Linked DNA regions of Lytechinus pictus. The protein of the gene in region 2 purifies or fractionates together with the protein of the main gene of each other region. This does not show direct contact. Links are inferred from orthologs where the notes say so. Each region holds a gene or a part of one and is shown on either strand. Other genes may lie near its edges.

Region 1 (7,056 bases), on a different chromosome or scaffold from region 2:
TTCAAATTTTCGTTGTTTTCATCAGAATGACTAAAAATTTAGATGATTTGAGACAGAAAACAATAAAAAATTATGAACAATGGACCTAACCCCTTTTGAAAAATTAGCTTTTCAAAATAAATTGTTTTCAAAAGGGGTTAGGTCCACTCCAAGAAAATCAAGTTTTTTTTATTCTCCCATATTGCAATATTCTTATGCGAAACTAAATTTTCATGATACCCTACCATGAGAACATAACATTGGGTATAAAAAAAATCTACCTGTCTTCATATTTTTAAAATATTCTTTTCCAAAAAATACTGTGTGGACCTAACCCCTTTTGCAGCCAAACTGAAATGGACCTAACCCCTTTTTGAAAAAAAAGTGATTTTTCTTTGCCATTTTAGATCACTTTTTAATGAGAATTTCAACTCTTCTTTGGTATCATCTTATAGAGCTACTAAAAATCTATACATTGAGACAAAATATCAAATTTGATGAAAAATGGACCTGAAAAATGGTCTGAGCGTTTCAATCTCCAATGATCAAAACCGTCTCTACCCTCCACGTGTGCAAGTTTTTGTTCTTATGTAATAACACATCGTATGGAGATGGACTGCAATTTCAGATGAAGAGATCGAGGTCAACAGGATTACCTCACCTCGTAACATGATGATGATGATGATGAACCCCTTTTGCAAGTGAGCTCTTCATAAATTATACTTCTAATTATTACAAAAAGTACATTTCCAGTTTTCTCGTCGGAAAATGAAAAATTAAAACTCACGTTTCTTGCTCGCATCAGTTCTGTTCATCTATTCTGTACATGGTAAAAAAATGCTAACAATTTCCAGATTAAAAGTCAAAAACTTTTAAATTTTCAGTTCGTATAGATAGGCCCTATTATACCTATTCTTTTCATAAAGTGCAAAAAATTTCGGGTTTAAAATTCGGGAAATCTAAAATTTTCAGCTCGCGCTAAATATAGTTTAGTATCATCTTAATAACCACGAGAAGCAAAGTTTTTCAGTCTGAAAATGAAAATCTTAAGCTTGCACTTTATTGTTTGGTTAGATAGCATAATTATGTTCATTTTGACAAAAAGTGCTCAAAGTTTATTATACTGCTCGCACTTTGCGTTCGCATTATTATGACTGGTGACAATATCATTTTTATGAGTCACTGGAAACCGTCATTAACAGATCAATAAATACATTTTCAGCTTACAACTGAAGACATGGAAGATGTCTCTTTTTCATAATTTCATTGTACAAAAATTTAAGCCCGCGCTTCGAGCTCGCATTTTTTTAAAAATTAGATATACATCGTGTTCATCATGACAACGACTAATTCAAGGCACTTTTCTTGTCTGTATTTATTTCCATATAAAACAAAATATATATACATGATCAAATTACAAAAAGAAAAAGAAAATCGTCAAATAAAATATGGAGGATCGCCCATTTCAGCGGTATTAACATAATGCCGCTATTCTTCCATGGGGTCCTTTAATTGCAACGTAAATACATATTATAAAAAATAATATACACTGTAAATACACAATACTTAATCGAGTGCATTACAAGAAAAAATGCAAAGACTAAAACTAAATTACGGTAAAAAAATATCCCATTGTGAAAATGCCCCCCTCCCCTTTAACCCACCCTCTAACTATTGATTGCCTAAACGCCCAATTTAGTCTGTTATTACACCGATAGTCTGTTATTACACCGATTGTCTGAATGTGTCAATTTCATAACTGAAAAATTTTCGTACCTTGAACCATCATATATATTTTGTAAACCCTTTCATTTTTCAGTTTCTCCGATCTAAATTTATTTGAAATATAGGAATGGCTTTTTTATTGTTTGTGTAGGCCTATATATAGGCTTACTTAGTAAATCAATTATTAGTTTCATAAGCCATGATAGTCCTCAGTGAATTTAAGTTTGTTTAATACCCAAGATTATTTTTCAATTCTCCATAAGCGCGAATTCATATCACATTTTTACACAAATTCCCAATATGCCGTGGGGGGGGGGGGGCATAGGCTGATTCGGTGATCGGGTAATGAAGCGGGCAACGGTGCCTTGCCCTACTGGCAGCGCAATGAGGTACCGAGGTAAATAATAGAGAAATTAAGAAGAACGTAAGATCGGAGGAGTAATAGAATCGAATAAAATATAAGGAGAGGGGAATAATTGAAAAAAGGGATAAGTTTCAGGTCAGAAGTACTGATATAAAGGTTTAAAAAAATGCGATTTCGCAATGTTGCCTATTAAAAGAAATAACAAGAGTATTATGGGCTTGCAATAACCCATTATCAAATTAATGTGCACAAATTTTTCTGTTCGCTATTCGAGTTTCCATTATTTTCTTATACGCATTTTATTCAAAGGTCAAATCCACCCCAGAAAATTTTCGATTTGAATCAATCGAGAAATATCTAATAAGAATAACGCTTAACAAAAAAATCAGATGTAAGTAAGAAATTTAAGACATTTTAAGGTTTTGCTTATCTTTCACAGAACAGTTATTATGCACAAATCATTGACAGGCAAATTAGTGAGTCGATGATGTCCCTCACTATTTCGTTTATATTGTTTGAATCGTACAATATTTCATTTTTTTAGAGATTTTACAATAATTAATTACCATCTTGGCTGAGTCATATAATTGTAAATGTTCAGGGTGTGTTTCACAGGAGAATTATAAAGGAGAAGAATATTTCAAACAATGAAAAAAAAAATCGTGAGCGGGTGACATCATCAGTCCCTTTATTTGCATACTATCACTGTGTTGCGAAACTTTAGCAAAAGTTGAAAACGTCACAATTTTCTCATTTACATCTGATTTTGATGAAATTTTCGGTTTTATGCTGGTTGGATTATTTTTTTCTTTTTTATTCAAATCATCTTTTAGTTGCATTTTGTTGGGTTGGACTTGTCCTTTATATAGTTTTGAAAATGGGGCTGAACATAAATGTAGGCCTATATATATATATATATATATATATATATATATATTCACCCAACAAAGGAAATTATAATTGGTATGGTGTCGAAAATCTGTCTATTTGACGTTCAATCGGATCGGGGTCGCCCTAGCCACTGACCCGTCTCTGCATGCCGGTGGTCTATAGTGGTTAAGGCACCGGCGTTCAAAGCTGGGGGCCCGGGTTCGATTCCCGGCAGATACATTTTTTCGGCATTGCCAATTTTTCCAAAAGGGCAGATAGCTCTGGGGAACCTTAATTTAAGCTACGCATACCATTGTTCTCTTCATCCATTTCTTTCACAATATATTATATATATATACCATTGTTCTCTTCATCCATTTCTTTCACAATATATTATATATATATATATATATATATATAATATATTGTGAAAGAAATGGATGAAGAGAACAATGGTATGCGTAGCTTAAATTATGCGTAGCTTAAATTATATGCCATGCACCGCTATATATAAAAGGTTCGCATTGTTTATATGCCATGCACCTCAGCGGCTGGCCAACTTGAACAAAATTATCTTCAGGTAAGTAGGCCTACAAGAAATGTACGAATTAGAGCTCGTGCTTTTAAAGTGTTCCGGCGTTCTATAGTGAGACAATAAATCAATTAAGGAAGAAAGAAGAAGAAGAAAAGAAAATAAGCAACAAACAAACAAAAACAGCAATGATCGATTGAATTTGCATTTCCTCCATTACTTCTCATCAGAGAGAGAGTTACACGTATATAAGGACAGTCTTTTTCCCCTACTCTTTCTTCCCAGTGGCGGCAGTGGGATTTCGAAAATAGAGGGCAAATACAAATAATAGGCAATAGTGTCTATATTTCCCACTACATTTTTATGTGGTAGTGTGTGGGGGGTGCATCAGAGGCGGATTTACATTTCAGTTTTCAGAATTTCTGTGGGAGGGGAAGTGCTCCTGACGGAAGGGGGGATAACCCTCACGTCCGTCCTCTCGCGGTGCCACCGATGCCATTCCCCTTCCTCATTCCACTCCTTCCATATCTATCCCAAGGCAAACTTGAAGTTGAAGGAGCTTTGGCCTTGTTCCCCTCTCTTTCACATACTTGGGAAGTGCACATATACGTACACCTGTACCTGCGCCTGCGTCGTCTTTGAGGGGGAATTCCCGCCATGAATCGGATTTAATCAAACGCTCAAAATTACAAATATCGGAGCTTATTTGCAAAATATCCTTACTTCATGCTTCAGAATGTAGACAATTTGTAAACTTTTTAGCATAAAATAATTGCGAAAAAATCCTAATAATGAATTTCTTATCAATTAAATACACAATTCTCAACATGTGGGACTTACATTTTACCAATAATTTTGGAACGAGCCTGTTGATAACGTCACCACGCCCATGACAATTCACTTCAAAGCTGATATGTATTCATGTACTTTTTAAAGATTTCATGAAAATTTGTTTCTTTGCTCCAACAATAAAAAATATAAGTTAAGTTGTTATTTTTATTATGAATATAAACTCACATAATCTACTTTAATTCAGGAAATAATGCAAAATATCTCAGCTTCAATGAGAACTTTATTTTTAATCGCTCAAATATTATGCTTTGTACTGCGGTTTCACTCACCGCGCGCGTATAATTTACTTCCCGTGCTCGATGAATGAAAAGAAAGTGTCAAACGTTACTTTTTCTGCATTCGACTCTTGTCCATCGTCGTCACAATGTTTCGCTTAAGGACATTTGAGGTAAATAAGACGTAATTTATGTTCTATTAAGCGTTTGATGAATGTTGGTGATTGAATTAGGGACTTATTTTATTCCCGGAAGTCGGTAGTGTATGCTTGCGGCACGTTCGTGTACTGAAAGTTACAGAGACGTCGGGTGACGTGAGCTGTGTGTGTGAATAAGGTGAGCTGTGTGATAAGTCATCTCCCTCATTGATGCGTGCGATTTTTAATGCACGCACTTCGGCTAAACCCCACACGTTTTCGTGATACAGTATTCAAGAAATAACATGAATTAAGTCTAGACTAAAGTAGTGTTGTTACCCGCAAGGCCGCATGCAACTTAACGCAAGTGTAATTTGAAAACCAGACCCGGCCGTACCGTAGTTGTACTCGTAGACCGTCCCATATTGCCATAAACTTTCAACTTAATTTAATTAAAGACAAAAGTCAATGTTCTGTCGTTAACTTTATTATTAGAAATTAGAAATACAATACTAGATCGAGCAGCCATTAGATTGAATTTAGAGGTGGTGGTCAGAAGAAAATTGAGATCTTCCCACTGGTATTACAGGCTGTAGTACTACTAGTAGTACTAGTAGTAGTAGTTAGTAGTCATGGTAGGGTGACTGCACACGTCACAGAGCAAAAAAAATCGCCCTTTTCACCGCATTCACACAGCCAAAAATTGTCATGGTTTTGAGGGAAAAATCAAAGTTCAATGCATTTCTGACATATGATCCTGGGAAAGAGTTATCTATGCACCCCCCACCAAAACTAACAAAAGATTGTCGAGACTTAAAGTTTGTTCACTTCAGATTTTTCTATTATTTTTTTACTGTTGCTTTATACATGAAGATACCTTACTTACAAAACTTAGTTGGGACTCGAACTCACCTCGTTTTATCTGCAGTCAAGACCTCTTCCCGCTATGCTAGCGAAAAGCGCTGATACCGGAAGGGGTATTTTAACAATTATCAGCTGATAGTTCGACTACATGTAGTCTTAACTCACAGTCACTCATAGACCCTTTACTGACTAAAAATAAACCGATGTCTGGACAATTACACGCACTAGATCCTGCGCGAAATTTGACAGAATAAAGCCATATTTTGGTATGTATTTCCACTCCCCCATTATATATGTTGTATATTAGGTCAGAGATATTATTTTGAATCTTCTCCATGTTTTTATTTTCAATTTTAGTGGGGGGTGCATATGGAAATCTTGCCTGATCCTGTTTAGTGTTGGGCGTCGTCCAAATTTAATGATTTTGGTATAAAAAGAGGAAAGACTGCTCCAAATAACCTACTTCGTTTACATCTTTTTACTAACATAATTTTGATGTGGCATTTAAAAAGGAATTTTAAGGTCTTGTATCTTGTGAATAAACATAGATTTTGCATGTCTATGTATTATTGCACTCAATTCAACACATTCACTGAGAAATGTACAAAAATAAATGCTCACTTTTGGCATAGGGCGCTATAAATGTATGTATGTTGCCATGATTTAGTGTCCTATACCAAGAGCATGCTTACATTTGTAATACATTGATTACTGGACCTTCCTCATTGTACTCAGCTGAATGAAGCACGATTGTATACAGAAAGTCTGAACAGGCCTTGAGTCGAACCCATCGTGGCAAACATTTCTGATGGAATTCATGCCTTATACATGTATGTTCTAAGTTCAGGGTTTCTTTTATAATTTCCTCTACATATTTTTGGTTCTGAAGTGCAGTTTGCTATTGTGAATGATCAGAATAGAACTTACTGCCAATAACCCTTTTCTTACTCTTATATTTTCTTAAAAACTGTCCTCTAAAAGACTTGGATTTTTACATAAAGATACAAGAACTTTGTTTACTATCAAGAAAAGAAAAAGTTTACGGGGAAAATGTAACTATTAAAGTCTACTTTAAAGTGGAGTGGGGGTCTTAAGTGTTGACCACTACGTAGTACATCTTTAGTTTTGAAAGATTAACCAGTCAATAAGATCAGGGGCCCGTTGCAGAAAGAGTTGCGACCTGGGGCCTGTTGCAGAAAGAGTTGCGTTTAAACACAAGTCCCGAGTACAGGTGCTTCATTGACTGAAAATCAAGTTGCGCAAGATTTTTTTAGTTGCGTTTGATCGTAGCTCTTTCTGCAACGGGCCCAGATCTTATTGACTTGATGTCAATTGCTCTGAGTAAATATGAAGGATTTGTTCATGTTTTGATATAAAGTTTATAAATCTTTTTCTTTTGAGTGAAAAAAAATAAAACTGCTTCAACAAACTGCTTCAACAAAAAAAGTCAATAATTTGTACATGTTTCAATGGAAGTGATTTAAATCAATGATTAAAAAAAAAATCATGGTGATTTGA
Region 2 (7,885 bases):
TTCATTTCTTGACCACTTTCTTCGATTGAAGTGTCACATTAAAGAGTAGATATTACACTTTCTAGACAAGTGATTTTCTTTGTGAAATTCAGATACTGCCCAACAAGTGACTTTTAGTATCCTTTCTTCAAAAATTTTGTTTTTACTCACTCATGCATGAAAAAAGAGTTATCTAAAGTTATACCAGCTCGAAGAGGAGACTCTAAGCTTTACAATGGTGGGTCGTGTGTCTATTGTATTTGTGATTAAGATATGATAAATCGTAGATAATTCTTGGTTCTGTTTTTTCAAGAGATGCACTACATATCTATCTATCCATTTATCCATCCATCCATCCACCCATCTATGTATCTATCCATCCATATATCAATTTTTCTCCCTCCCAACCTCCCAATAGATCAATGTATTATACACTGGTTGACAGTTTGTGATTTCGAAATTAAGAAAAAATCTGTTCCAAATTCATCATTACCTGGTAAAGTTCTGCTACATCTATCCAATCAGATGGCAGGGCAATGCTGGAGCTGAAATACTTCCTGAGAAAAGGTCGGCACTCGGGGGTCATGGCCGCAAGAGCTAGCAGGAAATTGGCTGTGGTACGTATATTCAACTCCTTCCTCGTATACAGTGCAACCTGATTAAAGGCAAATGACACATACTATATTTAACACTGGAACATAAATATTAGGCCTACTCTTTTTTTTTCTTAAGAGTGAGCATTTTTCATTTATGTTTGCAGTTTATAAAAACCTATTCATGACATACAGAATGACCTTCAGGTTGCAAGTCATCTGTGAAAAACAAAGATAGTCTCTGTGAGTAGGCCTGCGTATCATTTGTTTCTATCAGTTAAATAATTGGCAATAAATTGAAATATCTATACAATCATAACCTTCATTGCCACGTTTAAATTGTCTGAACTAAAAAAATATGGAAAACCCAAGAAATATTAAAAGACAGTATATGCATTTCTAAGATTGTTCATCAAATATTAGACCATGGACAGTAGGTTCCATAACATTTGCTCCGGCGACAATTGCTCTGATGGAAAATCTGCACATTATTATTAAGCCAATCATAAATTCTAACCTCCAAAACCAAATAAACCCTAATATGGAGCAAATGTCGCACGAGCAATGTTATGTCACCGGACAGTAACTATTAGATACAAGACATGTTTTGACCAATCATACTTAAATCATAGCCCTAACATTCATTGCATGAAAGTAGTACAAGGAAGAAAACAAATCCCAGCAATGTGTAATGATGTGTTAATTGGGTAATCTGATACTTGTAACAATTACCTATTCTGTTATTCTGCCAATTTTATCAGGAAAATTTTCAATATCAGGGAGGTCATTCATAAATTAGGAGATCAACGTAATCAATAATAGGCAATGAATAGCATTCCGCATTAAAATCACTGAATACAAAAAAAAAGGCTCCCTGAAGATGGTAGAATTATTATAATGGCAATTCCCAGCATTCAAGCCTTGCACAACTTTTGACATCAAGGTTGCAATTTAAGGGGTGTAGTGTATTTCAAAGCCTTGCATCAGCCATAAAAGTGAACCAATGCAATATGCACAGCTATGTACACATTACAACACATGGAATCATCTGAAACATACATGCTTTGAATGGGGAAAATTGACTTAGATACTCAGTTTAAAGCAACCATGTCCTGGCGTTATGCAATCAGATGAAATAAAAAAGTTCCTGCATGTAGCTATCAAAGTAAAAAAATAATAAAAAACATGACAACATTCTGTAAAAGCAAATATTAAGTAATCAGATACAGAACATACGGTAATTGTCACTAAAACATATTCTTATATTCCTCATACTTTGACAGTTGACACTTCCTAAACATCTTTAAAAAATAGATTACCATACTTCTTTTTCACAATTTCAGCCTAATGTCACAATAAGTTGAAATATATAAATCAAGGCATCGCTCCGGTGACAATTGCTCCGCTCTAAATTCCACACACTAATCGAATAACCAACTTCAACCCAAGGTTTAACACTATGCCCTACCCTAAGCTTAACCTAAACCCAACATAAAACCCTATAGCAACCCTAACCCTAACTCTACACCTTAGACGAAATCAAGCCCCGGAGCAATCGTCCCAGGAGAAAATGTCGTATCACCCTTCAATTTCCCTCCAAACATTTGGAATCCTTCTGCAGGAGTAATTCTCTTTGCTCACCTTTAGAATAAATTCAGGATCTTCATTGATGATGGAAGTGGCCTGCCTGTTGATATTCTTTCTTGTGCTATCTCCACGCTCATGAAAGTTTGGGCCACCGATCAGGGAGGCACTAACAGCATTGATGAACTGTTGCTGTTGAATCAAAATACTTGCAATAAGCTACATTATTTCATAGCTATTTCATAACTTTTCAAAACAAATAACATGAACATGTATATTTCCAGTTGAATGAAATACAAAGCAAGTTGAAGGATATTACAATAACCCTTAACAATTTAAATTTCTTTAAATCAATCTGATATTGTTTCTCAAAATGATTGACAAAATTGCTTCAAGAAATGATCTTATAGAATGCATAATGTATAGTCATGATTGCTAATGGAGATGTACTATGAATCTTTCTTATAAGATGAGTTAGATGCCTCATTTAAAAAAAAAGTAAACACAATGTATTTAGCTTGGCCTGATAAGTTGAATAGATGAATTTTTTAATTAATACTCTACCTTTAATTTTGTTGAGTAGTTTTCCCCTGGCTTTGTCGTCAGAGTTTTGGCCATGTCCAGCTTCTCAAACTGGTGATCATATTCCTGCACAGCTGGCTTTGCAACTGGAAGCTGTCGTGAGAAATCGTAGTCTGGCAGCTCACACGTGGTAAGGGTTGGGTCAATGACATTGTCCTCCTTCGACTGCTCTGGAAGATGCTGTGCTTTGATCTTCTTGGTCTTGGACTCCTCGGCTTGGGTGCTGTTGCTACGGCTCAAGCTGCGGGTCTTCTGGGAACCCTTCAAGACGCTGCCGTACCCTGAGGCTGATAAAGAGGATGATGATGAGAGAGAGCTGCCCATCGATAGCAAGCTTCCGCCTGCTAGAAGGGATCTTCCAGAGCTGCCCTGAAGCTTACTATGCAAACCAGTATTGGCTGTTGCAGAAGAGAGCAGCTTGTTTTCAATCAGTGGGGACTTGGTGCCCAGACTAGATGACTTCATGCCCAGGTTAAATTGGGACTTGCCATCTTTCTTCGAGACACCACCAAGCAGGGAGCTTCCAAAGAGGCTGCTTTTTTGGAGGGACATTCCAGTGGACGTCTGCTTGCTTGGGACCGACGCTTGACTGCAGCCATCATCCCTTGCCTTTCGCTTTGTTGCTGTTAGACCAGACGACAATGAACCCGTCAACAGAGGGTTTGACAGGTAACTCATCTTGACAAGTCGACAAATTTAATATCTAAAGTAGAAGCTGATTTTTTCCTCACTCATAAGTATGAATTATTCTGCATTTAAGAGAAACAGATGATTGAAAAAGAAAATCAATAAATTGTTGATTAGACTTCTGAATGGTAGTACGAATTTAGGATTCAAATTCAAGTAAGCAATAATTAAATGATTAAAGTTTTGTGAAATATAACCGAAATTTATATCATCCATCTTTAAAAGTCAACTCCAAGTAAATCTGCACATCAAATGCAATGCATCATTGGTAGAAGAGCTCTGCGGACATTGAAATGCTGATATTTATAAACAACACACTTTTGATTGAGAGATTTAATATTCCTTTGGGAAATCATTTCTTCTAAATATATTTCTGAACTTATTGACAGTATTTGGCCAGTAGCTATCTCGCCTGTATCTCACACACAGTTGCCCGCAGAAGCGCACACAAAATCTGATGAACTGATTTGCATGCAGAAAAGTTTTGGACACGCTCATGCTCATGCATAGGTGGGAAGTAAAATTGGTCTGGAATGGGAAACCTCTCTCTTAGCTGATCCCTCCGCTTCTTTGGAGATACCTGGACTCTGGAGTCTTCTCTTCCTCTTCTTCTGATGAAGTACAGTCCATCGTCTAGTTATTGTACTGTATTTGACAGGTCTGGTGTTGTGGAGTATGTACAGTGCCATTTTAAAAGATTCTAGCAATCTACTACTTTTTACTAGGCCTACATATTTTAGTAAAATATTTACTGTCATCTGAAACTGTTAATTTAATAAGAGAAACTCCTGTTTAATCAAACCTCAACTTACTTATTTTTCTTATCTTACTCCTGCTCAATAAAATAAAAAAAAATAAGACAAAATTCAAAACACCATCTTGACTCTCGAAGCAGTCTACAGGAATGAAATTCACTCAAGTGTCTCACTCTCAGTGAGTCAGTCAAACAAGGTTCAGTACCGCTACTACCGGTAATCGGTATTCAGTCTTAATTTCACTCAGACACACTTGGCTTGCCTTGAAGTTGATGAAATTACCTCTTCTTTACTACAAGCAGTGACATGACACTCTTTCCTTACTCCAAATTCCAATTTGAACTGAGCTTCATCTGTGTCTCGTACAGCTCTGTCTCTGCTCGCTCTACATCATGTAATGTAATTTCCGAAGTCTGTCATTGTCAAGTGCCATAAGACTGAGCTGAGCTTGTAGACTGTAGTTACATGTATGCCGAGGATCACGCCCCTGGCCCAGCCCGGTACCTTACCGCGATAGAGCAGGTCCCCGGAAGTTCAGGGGACAATGGTCTTGCACCATGCCTACGCAAGGATCAGCAATGATGCAAGTTCGCGAAATCTCCGTGTTTTGAAATGTCTCCCTCTCCGGCTACACTCTTGCAATTTCAACGATGATTGGCTCTTGATCTTTCGATCGATCGAGCGCGCTCGCTTTTTGAATGCAATATTGTGCGCAGACGATTTTTATGCATTTTGTGGCTGACCGATTTTCTTCTGAATTTGAGCAAAGATATCACCAAAATAGCTGTATTTCTGACTAGACAAGGGATCCCAACATGAAGCCAACGTAAGTAACTATCAAAGAATAAAAAACATGGTCACGACGAAGGTGGTCTGGATAATTTAAAGTATAGGTATGAACCGAGCCCTCGGTCATTTTCCACACAATATTTTTCTTTTTAGACCATTTTCATTACTGGCGTACCGGTATGCAACTCGTATGCATACAATGACCAATTCATTTATCACGAATCCGTGTTACCCTAATTTGCATTGCACAGGAGCCAAATCCCGGGGGCCCAGGTGACCATGCATACGCATACCATACTGTTTTAACCATTTTTGTGCAAGAAAAATGCCAAGACTAAAGACTTAAAGTTAGAGAATACCCACTGTCTTGCCTATATAATTCTGTGAATGAATATTTATTTTTAGCATGTTTAGTCAGTAATTTACTTCGTGCTTTTTATCGTTGTGTTGCTTTGGGCTTGGCCATTATAACCTCGTTCGTAGGATGAGTGGGCTTGGCTTTACCTTTGCCTTGGGCCGGCTTTGGCTTTACATTTTTGTTTCATGTTTGGTCAATCGAAGTTGGATTTTGACTTTTGTTTGAAACTTTGAGTTTTTATTTTTTATTTTTTTGGCTTTGAGTCATTGCCTTAATTTTGTTCTTTGTCAAGACTTAATTTTTAATTTTAGTTCACATCGTGTGAAGTGTCATCCAATGTTAACAGCTGGCAGCCGTCTGTTTCGAGTAGTTTTTTAACATTTTTATTTATTGTTAATTTCTCCTCGTACACAGACGGCTCCAGCCACCATTAGGGGATTAACAATGCAAAATCCCCCCGATTGGGCTCATCGAATTTTGTCTTTATTTCATAAAAATATATAAAAAGAACTGTACCAAGATAAAGATGTTTCCGTTTTGGCCTGAAATGCACCAAAACTGGGAAAAATAAACTTAAAAGGGGAAAAAACAGTGACCATGGTGACTTACTTCGGCTGTCGCGCAACTTCACTTCCCTGTTTTATCCGAACTTAATACATAAACATATGGCCATTGAGTCCCCTGTACAGATCGCGCTAGAACTTCGGTCTCTGTATTTGGTGAGTGGAGCCAATGGAGTTCAACGGAACAACCAACATAACAGAGACCAAAGCTTTTGGTCTACATCCAATGCAGCGTCGCTTCGTTTGCACTCATCTTTTCACCCATTTTATCAATCATGTTTTTCTCTTCCTTTAATTTAAGTTGAACTAGTTTTATAACATGATGTTCAACATGCATCATCATGTCATACATTATTGATTTGTTTTTAAATCTTTCTACCTTTCTTCATTCTTATTTCTTTTATTTCTTTCCCCTGAAGCTTTTATTTTTTCTTTCTTTCCTTCTTTCTTCCTTCCTTTTATCTTTTTTTAAAATTCCTTTTATTGCTCCTCATTTTTACTCTGTCAATTCATACAAAAGTACCGTAATAGAACTAAGGTGTAATTCATTCTTTTTTTTTCTTTCTTTCTTTCCTTTCTTTTTTAAATTCCTTTTATTGCTTCTCTTTCTTTTTGGCTTTCTGTCTTCCTTCTTTCCTTCCTGTCTTCCTTTCTTTCAATCAAACAAGGATGTAAAATTGTATTTGTAACCTTGTGCATCTGAGGGTTGACATATTTAGACATCTTCCTATGTATCGATGTGATTTTGCTGCTATCATAGAAGATTAACTGTATACGAAAGATACTTCAATGAAATAAAAAGTAATATTTTTTTTTCCTAACCTTCCCATTGGGGGCCCCACGTTTCATAAAAAGTTACAACTGTTGTAACTTTGCCATTATGACAACTACCATGGTAACCTTGATTTTGATTGGCTGCTGAGCCCAGTGCCATGGGACAAAAATGTAATATAATTTCTTGTATCATTTCATGTTTTTTTTTAGACGAGGCAAGACCCCTAAGAAGACACCTCGGAAGCCCCCTAGCTGTGCTAAGGACCCAGTAGAGGTAAGATACGGAAGGTGAAAAGTGATCGGAGATGACAAAATAATTCAGGATGAAAATTTCGTGTTGTGTCTTATCGAGTGAACTTGATGGGAAGTACATGTACAGTACCAGTCACAATTCGTTGACTACCTGTTTACCTGTTTCAACCAGAGAACATTAGATTCAGTGGACCAAATCTATTATTCTCTGGTTGAAACAGGTAAAAAGTCAATATCAATTTTCTCGTCAAGTCAACTTTGTCTGACAAGAAGACAAAAAGTCAACTTGATGAGGATGCCTTCTTGCCTTCCCATCCTTGTCAAGTCTGGGCCCTGTAAAATAAAGCCTAGTGATCGCGATTGATTGTGATTCACCTGAGTTTTTATTATTGATGATACACGATTATAAATGCATACAATCATAGACATGGGCCTCAAATTAATTGCTGTGCACTATGTTACACGGCCTTGATTAACAAGATGCAGAATCTTGCCATTTTGTCATGTCTTCCTGACTAGTTTACTTTATTGTATAATATACCCAGTATCATTGACATTGTCTTCCGGATTTATCTTGGTTGATTGGTGCACCTTTAAGATTCTGAAGTACTAGTTAATTTGAGATCAGCTGAATGTTTAATGAAGCACCTTGTCGGTGCTTTTTAGGGTTGTTTTACATAACAACGCTTCTTTTTCTGAGCCAATTAGTTGCAATAATTTCAGTGGTTTTTAACAGTTGTCAGTGAAAATTACTAACTATATATTTGTTCCATATATGTAGTGCTCCGCAGGAAAGTAGATGAAACAGATGATGAGGATGGCTAAGCTATTTAAATATAATATAAAGCACTGGGGCGGTATTCTGAGGTCATTTTATCTTTAAAATATTTTATTTTATCTCTTATAATGAAATTGGTATTCTGAGATGATATTTTATCTCTCAGATAGAATTTACAATTTTATCTTGCA
Region 3 (7,158 bases), on a different chromosome or scaffold from region 2:
GACCCTCAAATTTGTGGTTTCTCGTTCCAGTGTGCGCCCATCATGAACTACTCAGCCGGTCAGGACGGCGAACTCGATCGACGAGGAGTCATGTGAGTTTAATGTGGTCAGTTCCGGAGCAATGCATTTTTAGCTATTTTATTGATTCAAGGGCAGTTCCGGAGACCCCCATTTTATTTTTAAAGGCCAACATTTAGTTCAAGAGCCCCATGTTTTTTACTTTGGTGTGGCACACTATTATCATGTTTCGAATAGCCCCCCGGTAGACACCATCTATTCATATCACCCATTTTATCTGCCATTTATTTAGTACTGTAGATCTAAATGCTGGTATTCAGAATGCTCTCACTCATAGTCAGTCACACAATACACTAAGTGACTAACCCAGGGAGCTCCGGCCCGCGAAGCGGGCGGGAGCCCAGGAGTCGTCCATGTAATACTAGTCAAACATATACTCTCCAAAATGGGGTCTGAATAGCACTTCAAATAAAAGGGGAAAAAATAAATTATGCACTTACCTCGATTATATGGATGAAGGTCTATCGTGACACAGCTATCCTGACATCGAGGCACAAACTGGACCCTCAAAAAAAGGAAAAGTTGTTTCTCGTTCGTTTTCCTTCTGTCAAAATTAAAATCAATATGGCCGATCGATACCAAAACGAACGGGACATAGACGTCTAACTTTTTCTTTTTTTGAGGGTCCAGTTTGTGCCTCGATGTCCGGATAGCTGTGTCACGATAGACCTTCATCCATATTATAATCGAGGTACAGGTAAGTGCATAATTTACTTTTCCCCTTTTATTTGAAGTGCTATTCCGACCCCATTTTGGAGAGTATATATGTTTGACTAGTATTACACGGACTTCTCCTGGTCTTGTGGGGACTAAGACAGCTGGCAGCCGTCTGTTTCGAGGAGTTTTTAAACATTTTTTTATTTTTTTAAATTTCTCCTTGTACACAGACGGCTCGCTATCGTGCAGCCACCATTAGGGGACTTACAATGCAAAATCCCCCCGACGGGGCTCATCGATTTTTGTCTTTATTTCATAAAAGTATTGAAAAAGAATTGTAATTTGTACCAAATAAAAATAGAGATTATTCTGTTTTTTGACATACTTCGGCTGTCGCGCAACTTCACTTCCTTGTTTTATCCGAACTTAAGTACATAAACATATGCCATGGCCATTGACTCGATTGAGTCCCCTGTACTGGCTGTACAGATCGCGCTAGAACTTCGGTCTCTGTATTTGGTGAGTGGAGCCAACGGATCGAGTTCAGCGGAACAACCAACATAACACTACAGAGACCGAAGCTTTTGGTCTAACTTGTAATGTTAGTGGGGACTACACGAACCATCGCCTGGGTTGAGGTAATTCACGGTTATTGTTGACTTGTCTTTCTTTGTCGGACGTAGTGATTTCCAATTTGATTTTAGAACAAGAAGCTTAATAACTTATTAGGGTGTCTGGAGAAATTTTTTTTTTTCTTATTTCAAGAAAATATCACATTTTCTTTGTGAATTTGAAGAGAAATGACCTTCAGACTGACAGAAATGTAACATTTTTGAAAAAAATCCAATTATTGGCTGCAAAAAAGAAGAATGAAATTAGGTAAATTTTCAGCATTTCTCTGCCATAGACTGTGTAGTTAAGAAATGGACACACACAAATCCAAATTTTTAGCTTCCGAGAGCTGTTATAAATTTATTATTAATGCCAAAAACTTGTCCATAAAGAGTCCAATAGGATTTTTTATGCTCTATCTGATGGTATGATTTTTATAAAGATTTGGAAACCAGATCACAATGAAAAATTGCGACAAAGTGAAAAAAATTGTGCAAAACAGAAATTTCATTTTCCCATAGAAAATGCATGGAGAAATGGCAATCTCTACACACACAAAAATAAGGGTTTGCAATTTATCTCTAAATCCTTATTTAAAATGATCATATAAACTTGTCCTTACTGTCAAAAGAAGCCCCTGAATTTTCTCTTTCCATACATGCCAAACACAAGTTAATAATCAATTCAGATCACATTTTTCTAGTAAGTAGTAGCCAACGGAGGCAGTGTAGCTCAGTCGGTTAGGGCGCCTGTTCCGGAAAAGATCGTAGATCTCAACGTGCGTGGGTTCGAGTCCCGCAGCATGCCGGAAGACGTCTAACAATAAAACTGATGCTAGCGTTGTGTGTTAGCGTGCCTCACCGCTGTGTTCAGTGCGGGTGTGAATGCAGTTGGAAAACACTCCGTCCATCGGAAAGGACGCAAATGTTGGTCCCGTGTATAGGAGAGTCACAACCTATGCACGTTAAAACCAATACACTCTTCGTCAAAGAGTAGGGTGTTCACCCGGTGTATTGCACCTGCCGGTCCCCGGTACTACAATACTGCAAGAATCTTCAGGATTGAAGGAGGCAGTGTAGCTTGAAGAAGAAGAACTTCCCCGAAAAAATGTGCCATATTTTCCCCTGAATTAGCCTGTTTTATGCCGACAGTGACACTTTTCAGTGTGGCTTCAGACACCCTAAACTTATAATACTTAGGGCCTATATAGGCCTACTTAATTAACTGCCTACCGATGCGATTTTCAATTTGATCCGATTTAAAACATTACAGCATTTGGCCTTCAAGTTCAGGCATCATGTTATCCAATTCCAAGTTTTAATCCCCAGTGCTCACGTTCATTCACATCATTCATGCCATGCCCATGGCGACGTTATTCCAACCACAATACACAAAAACAAACGACCGGTCCCACACGTAAAAAAAAAATCCAGATCAGATTCATTGCCACTTCATTCAGACAAACATCTGTGAAATAAGTGAACTAAAACTCATTTAAATTATGAATTACAAATGTATTTAACACTTATTCATCAGCCATCATAATGCATATTGGAAGAGTAAGACGTAAATGATAAAACAAAGACAAACCTGTCAATCGCCTTCAACTCTTTCCTTTGCACGCATCGATTGCTGCCATGTTTTCCGCATTCAAACTCGCCGCTAATCCCGAAATCAAGCGATTTGATTGGCTGATTACAAATGACTGCTCTTTATGCATGACGTACCGAATCGATGAGTCATAACAAAGACACGGGGCCCGAATTCACAAAGGTCGACTAAGCTCCTTGACTAAAGTTATACCGGGGTATAAAACGCGTCATTTGACGTCATTTTAATCCATGGACTAAAGTTAGCACCGGGGTATAACTCAACCATGGGTTAAATTTAACCCCGGGTGCTAAAGTTAGTCCATGGATTAGTTAGTCCACCGTTTGTGAATAGCGCAGTGGACTAACTTTATACCCGGGTGTTAGTTAACCCCCCACTAAATTTAACCCCGGTATAACTTTAGTCGACCTTTGTGAATACGGGCCACGGGGTGTGAAGTTTTATTCGCACTGTCATTCCAAATTTTAGGGGAAATATGAATGCTTCCATATCTTAATGTGAAACATAACTTGATTTTTCCAAGAACATCATCAACTCTCTCTGTGTAAAATTTCGCCCACGACCCCTGCGCTATACGACCATGATAACATTTTTTTTTACAAACTGACAAATCCAATATGTCATTTTACTTTATTTCAAATCTAATTTGGTTGAAAATTTTAGGCGTTATGCCTGCTTGGTTTTCTCTATTTATTCAAATCAACTTTTGGTCGGGGTAAACTTGACCTTAAAGGACTCAGCCAGCCCCCCCCCCCCCACCGGCCGTTGGAAAACGTTCAGTATACGGGAAGATAAAATAAAAATTTGACAAGCGAAAAACAAAAGAACAAAAGAAAATAGGTTTTCACCAAAAAATGAACTTCATTTCGCCTACGTAAAGTTTGAAAAGCAAAAAAAAAAAAAAAAAGGGTCCTCACTAAATATGTTTCAATGACATATTCCCATGCGGCTGTGACTTTCAAAAAGCTAGGGAGCCGGGGGCACGTATAAAAACGGCATATTTACATCAAAATTTTGATTATGGCTCTCAAGGGGGCGGGGGGGGGGGCACGGGCCAGATGTGCCCCCTGGATCCGCCACTGAGTCGGTATAATCGGGACAAGTCAATAATATACACCAAATATACAGTGCGTATAAAAAAAAACCGGGACAGATTTGAAAAGTCTATACATTTTTTGTTTCAAATTATGATGTCTATATTTTGGTGTTAATGGGTGCTCTGAAGTCTCATTTTTCAAATGCCATTAAAAAAAATAGTTTCGTTCATGCTTGAGCGAACACGGAATGTTTTTGTCTGGGGGCTAAAAAGGAGGCTTGCGCCAAAATGACATAAAATGATAAATATGATGATCGGACTTCTTGCTAATCAGCAGACTTTTCATTATCTTTGCCATAATTTTCGAATCATACGGTTAAAATTCATTTTCAAATCTTCATTTGCTTGAATAGTTCTGTTGTTGTTTCTTTCAATATGTTCTCTTTTAGCTTTCAATATTCCTTCTTAAAGGTATTGTTTAACTTTGTGAGCAGCCGATTTAAAAAATTCTCAAACCAAGATGAAACATGTGTACAAGTGCATGTATTAGAACTAATAAACCCTGAAAACAACCATTATTGAGAATGAAAAGCTAAAACTACAAGGCAAACCCCGATTTTGTAAAAAGGCGTCTACAAGACGCCTAAATAGTACACATAAGTGTATGGGATGAAATTAAGATGGTGTTTTCGGTCACTTTATATTTCAATTTTTGAAGCACTAAATAATTATTTTCGAACGCAATTTTTTCTGGGCTTCATTTTTGTAACATATCACACACACAGGTGACAAGTGTGACCTTCTAGCTCAGATTTTTAAAAAGTCAAACCAATGTTAACCAATCACTCTAAAGCAAAAACAAAAAATTTTCAACCGAAGTATGGAAGAGCGTATACATTTTTTCAAAAATCCTTTTATTGTGTGCTACAAAGGTTATGGTGCCTTTGAACAGTGGCATACAGATGGGCGGGGGCTCGGGGTGTTCCCCCCAATAAAAAAAGTGGAAAGGAAATAAAAGTAAAGATAGAAAGTGAAATATGATTTATTTTCTGAATATTATGTCAAAATCTATCACAAAATTTGATATTTTAATAAAAAAGTGGAAATTTTTGCTTGCTCGCTTCGCTCGCTCACATTTTTATTTGCATTTTATCCGATCTGCCATATCTAGCTCATTCAAAATTGACTCAATACACCATTGCCATTGAAAGACATGAATTATTTCCTGTTTGTCCTGTCAAGCACACAATTAAACTTGCTCAAACCACTTGAAAATAGGATTCATGTTTTTTTAGGTACCATAACATAATTTGTTTCACATAATAAATACAATTTGAATAATTACAAGTTATCACAATTAATAATGCAAATATTCTTGCATTGGTTGACAAAAAGTCTTCTTTTCTTTATTAATGAAGGAAAATTCAAATGTTAAAAAAAAAATAATGAAAAAGCAAAATAATTCAAGTAAATAGATAAATTTTTAAATGAAATTTGACAGCATAGTTCAAAAATCATAGCAAAGATAATGAAAAGGTTAAGAGGAAGTTTGCTGATTAGCAAGAAGTCTTATCATCAAATTTTTCATTTCTGCCATTTTGGCACAAGCCTCTTTTTGAACCCCCGACAAAAAAGGTCCCGTGTTCGCTCAAGCATGAACAAAATTTATTTTTTTTTAATGGCATTTCAAAGATAAGATTTCAGAGCATCTATTAACATCAAAATATAGATATCATAATTTTTTATAGACTTTTCAAAACTGTCCCGTTTTTTTATACGCACTGTATATTTCCTCGCACTTCGAGTTGCAGTGACATATGCCGTTTATCATGTCTACACACTTAAAATGATTGCCACCTCAATATAAAACAATTCTAGTACGTGCTTACGTTTGCATTAGTGGATTGGTGAGATATGTCTGCTTTTTATGAATTCCTAAAAATAGTCCTTAAAATGTTCCTTTTTCTGGTCTGAATATAAAAAAAAAATCAGTTCGCGCTTCGCGCTCGCAATATTTGATCAGTGAGGTACGTATCATGTTCATGATAATGACTACAACAAGTGCCTCATGTGTTTAGGTGTAAACAAATCAGCAAGCGATTGGCGCTTGCATTAGATGACCATGTATGCTCTTCATGAATTCCTCATGAAGCCCTTAAAATGTCCCTGTTTCAAGTGGTCAATATATACATAAAATGTCAACTCGCGCTTCGCGCTCGCATTGCTTGTTTTGTGAGACATGTACGTATCATGATTACAAAAATGTGCTTATAATGCTCCCTTTTTACGTTTGAAAATTTTTCAGCTCGCGCTTCGCTCTCGCATCGTTTGGTTAGTGAAATACGTATGGTCTTAGTGAATTGCTACAAACAAGCCTTAGAATGCTCCTCTTCAGGTCTGAATATCAAAAATTTTCAGCTCGCACTTCGCGCTTGCATTATTTGATCAGTTAGATACATATCCGTTTAAAATATCTCTGTTAGGTCAGTATACGTGGCAATTGAGCGCGCTTCGCGCGCCCACTTAGTGACTCAATTTTTTGATGGTGCTCCCCAATGCCGTGACCACCCCCCCAAAAAAGAGAGAAATTTGCTGGAAATCGTGGCACTATTAAACTCATTTAAAAGTCTTTTTGAATAAATATGTTTTCAAAGTGGATTTAAACTTGGGTGGAGAAGAGTTCTTTACATATGATGGAGTGTATTCCAAAGTGAAGGGGCAGCATGGGCAAAGGATCGTTCTCCATAAAACTTGGTCTGAACACAAGGACAATTTAAAAGATCCTTCTGAGCTGATCGAAGATTACGAGATGGCACATACTTAACTAAACAATCAATAAGATATTTTGGAGCCATTGCATGGAGGCACTGATAAGTTACCCCTTTTTACAAGCAGTACTTTAAACATTACACGCGACTGGACTGGGAGCCAATGTAGTAATTTTAAGACAGGTGTGATGTGGGAATGTTTTATATTACGGGTGACTAGTCGTGCTGCAGAGTTTTGAATTACTTGTAATTTGTTTATTTGGAAATCGGGCATCCTATATAGAGTAAACTATTGCAATAATCTAAATGACATATTACATGAGCCTGGACAGGCTGCTTGGTAGTCTTTGCATCTAAGAATTGCCGAACCCTACCAAGTTTACATAGAACAAAAGA

The links.
Region 1: the proteins of kinesin-like protein KIF23 (region 2) and ADP-ribosylation factor 6 purify together in Homo sapiens (affinity purification with western blotting; 3 studies listed by BioGRID and IntAct, with this or other methods). This does not show direct contact. The link is inferred for Lytechinus pictus from reciprocal best matches to the Homo sapiens genes KIF23 and ARF6.
Region 3: the proteins of kinesin-like protein KIF23 (region 2) and protein ECT2-like purify together in Homo sapiens (co-immunoprecipitation; 3 studies listed by BioGRID and IntAct, with this or other methods). This does not show direct contact. The link is inferred for Lytechinus pictus from reciprocal best matches to the Homo sapiens genes KIF23 and ECT2.

What each region holds. Positions count from the first base shown.
Region 1 is NC_087250.1:26,846,992-26,854,047, reverse strand, and holds the start of ADP-ribosylation factor 6, read left to right. Parts: upstream 1-4,056; 5' UTR 4,057-4,710; intron 4,711-7,056. UniProt on the Homo sapiens protein: GTP-binding protein involved in protein trafficking that regulates endocytic recycling and cytoskeleton remodeling. GTP-bound form plays an important role in the transport of multiple palmitoylated proteins form the Golgi to the plasma membrane.
Region 2 is NC_087247.1:11,418,550-11,426,434, reverse strand, and holds the start of kinesin-like protein KIF23, read left to right. Parts: upstream 1-4,810; 5' UTR 4,811-4,995; coding exon 4,996-5,006; intron 5,007-6,874; coding exon 6,875-6,938; intron 6,939-7,885. Other genes in the region: telomerase protein component 1-like, read right to left, coding at 473-634, 2,214-2,348, 2,721-3,416.
Region 3 is NC_087260.1:15,023,004-15,030,161, reverse strand, and holds the start of protein ECT2-like, read right to left. Parts: upstream 3,050-7,158; 5' UTR 2,938-3,049; exon of another isoform or gene 2,580-2,937; intron 1-2,579. UniProt on the Homo sapiens protein: Guanine nucleotide exchange factor (GEF) that catalyzes the exchange of GDP for GTP. Promotes guanine nucleotide exchange on the Rho family members of small GTPases, like RHOA, RHOC, RAC1 and CDC42.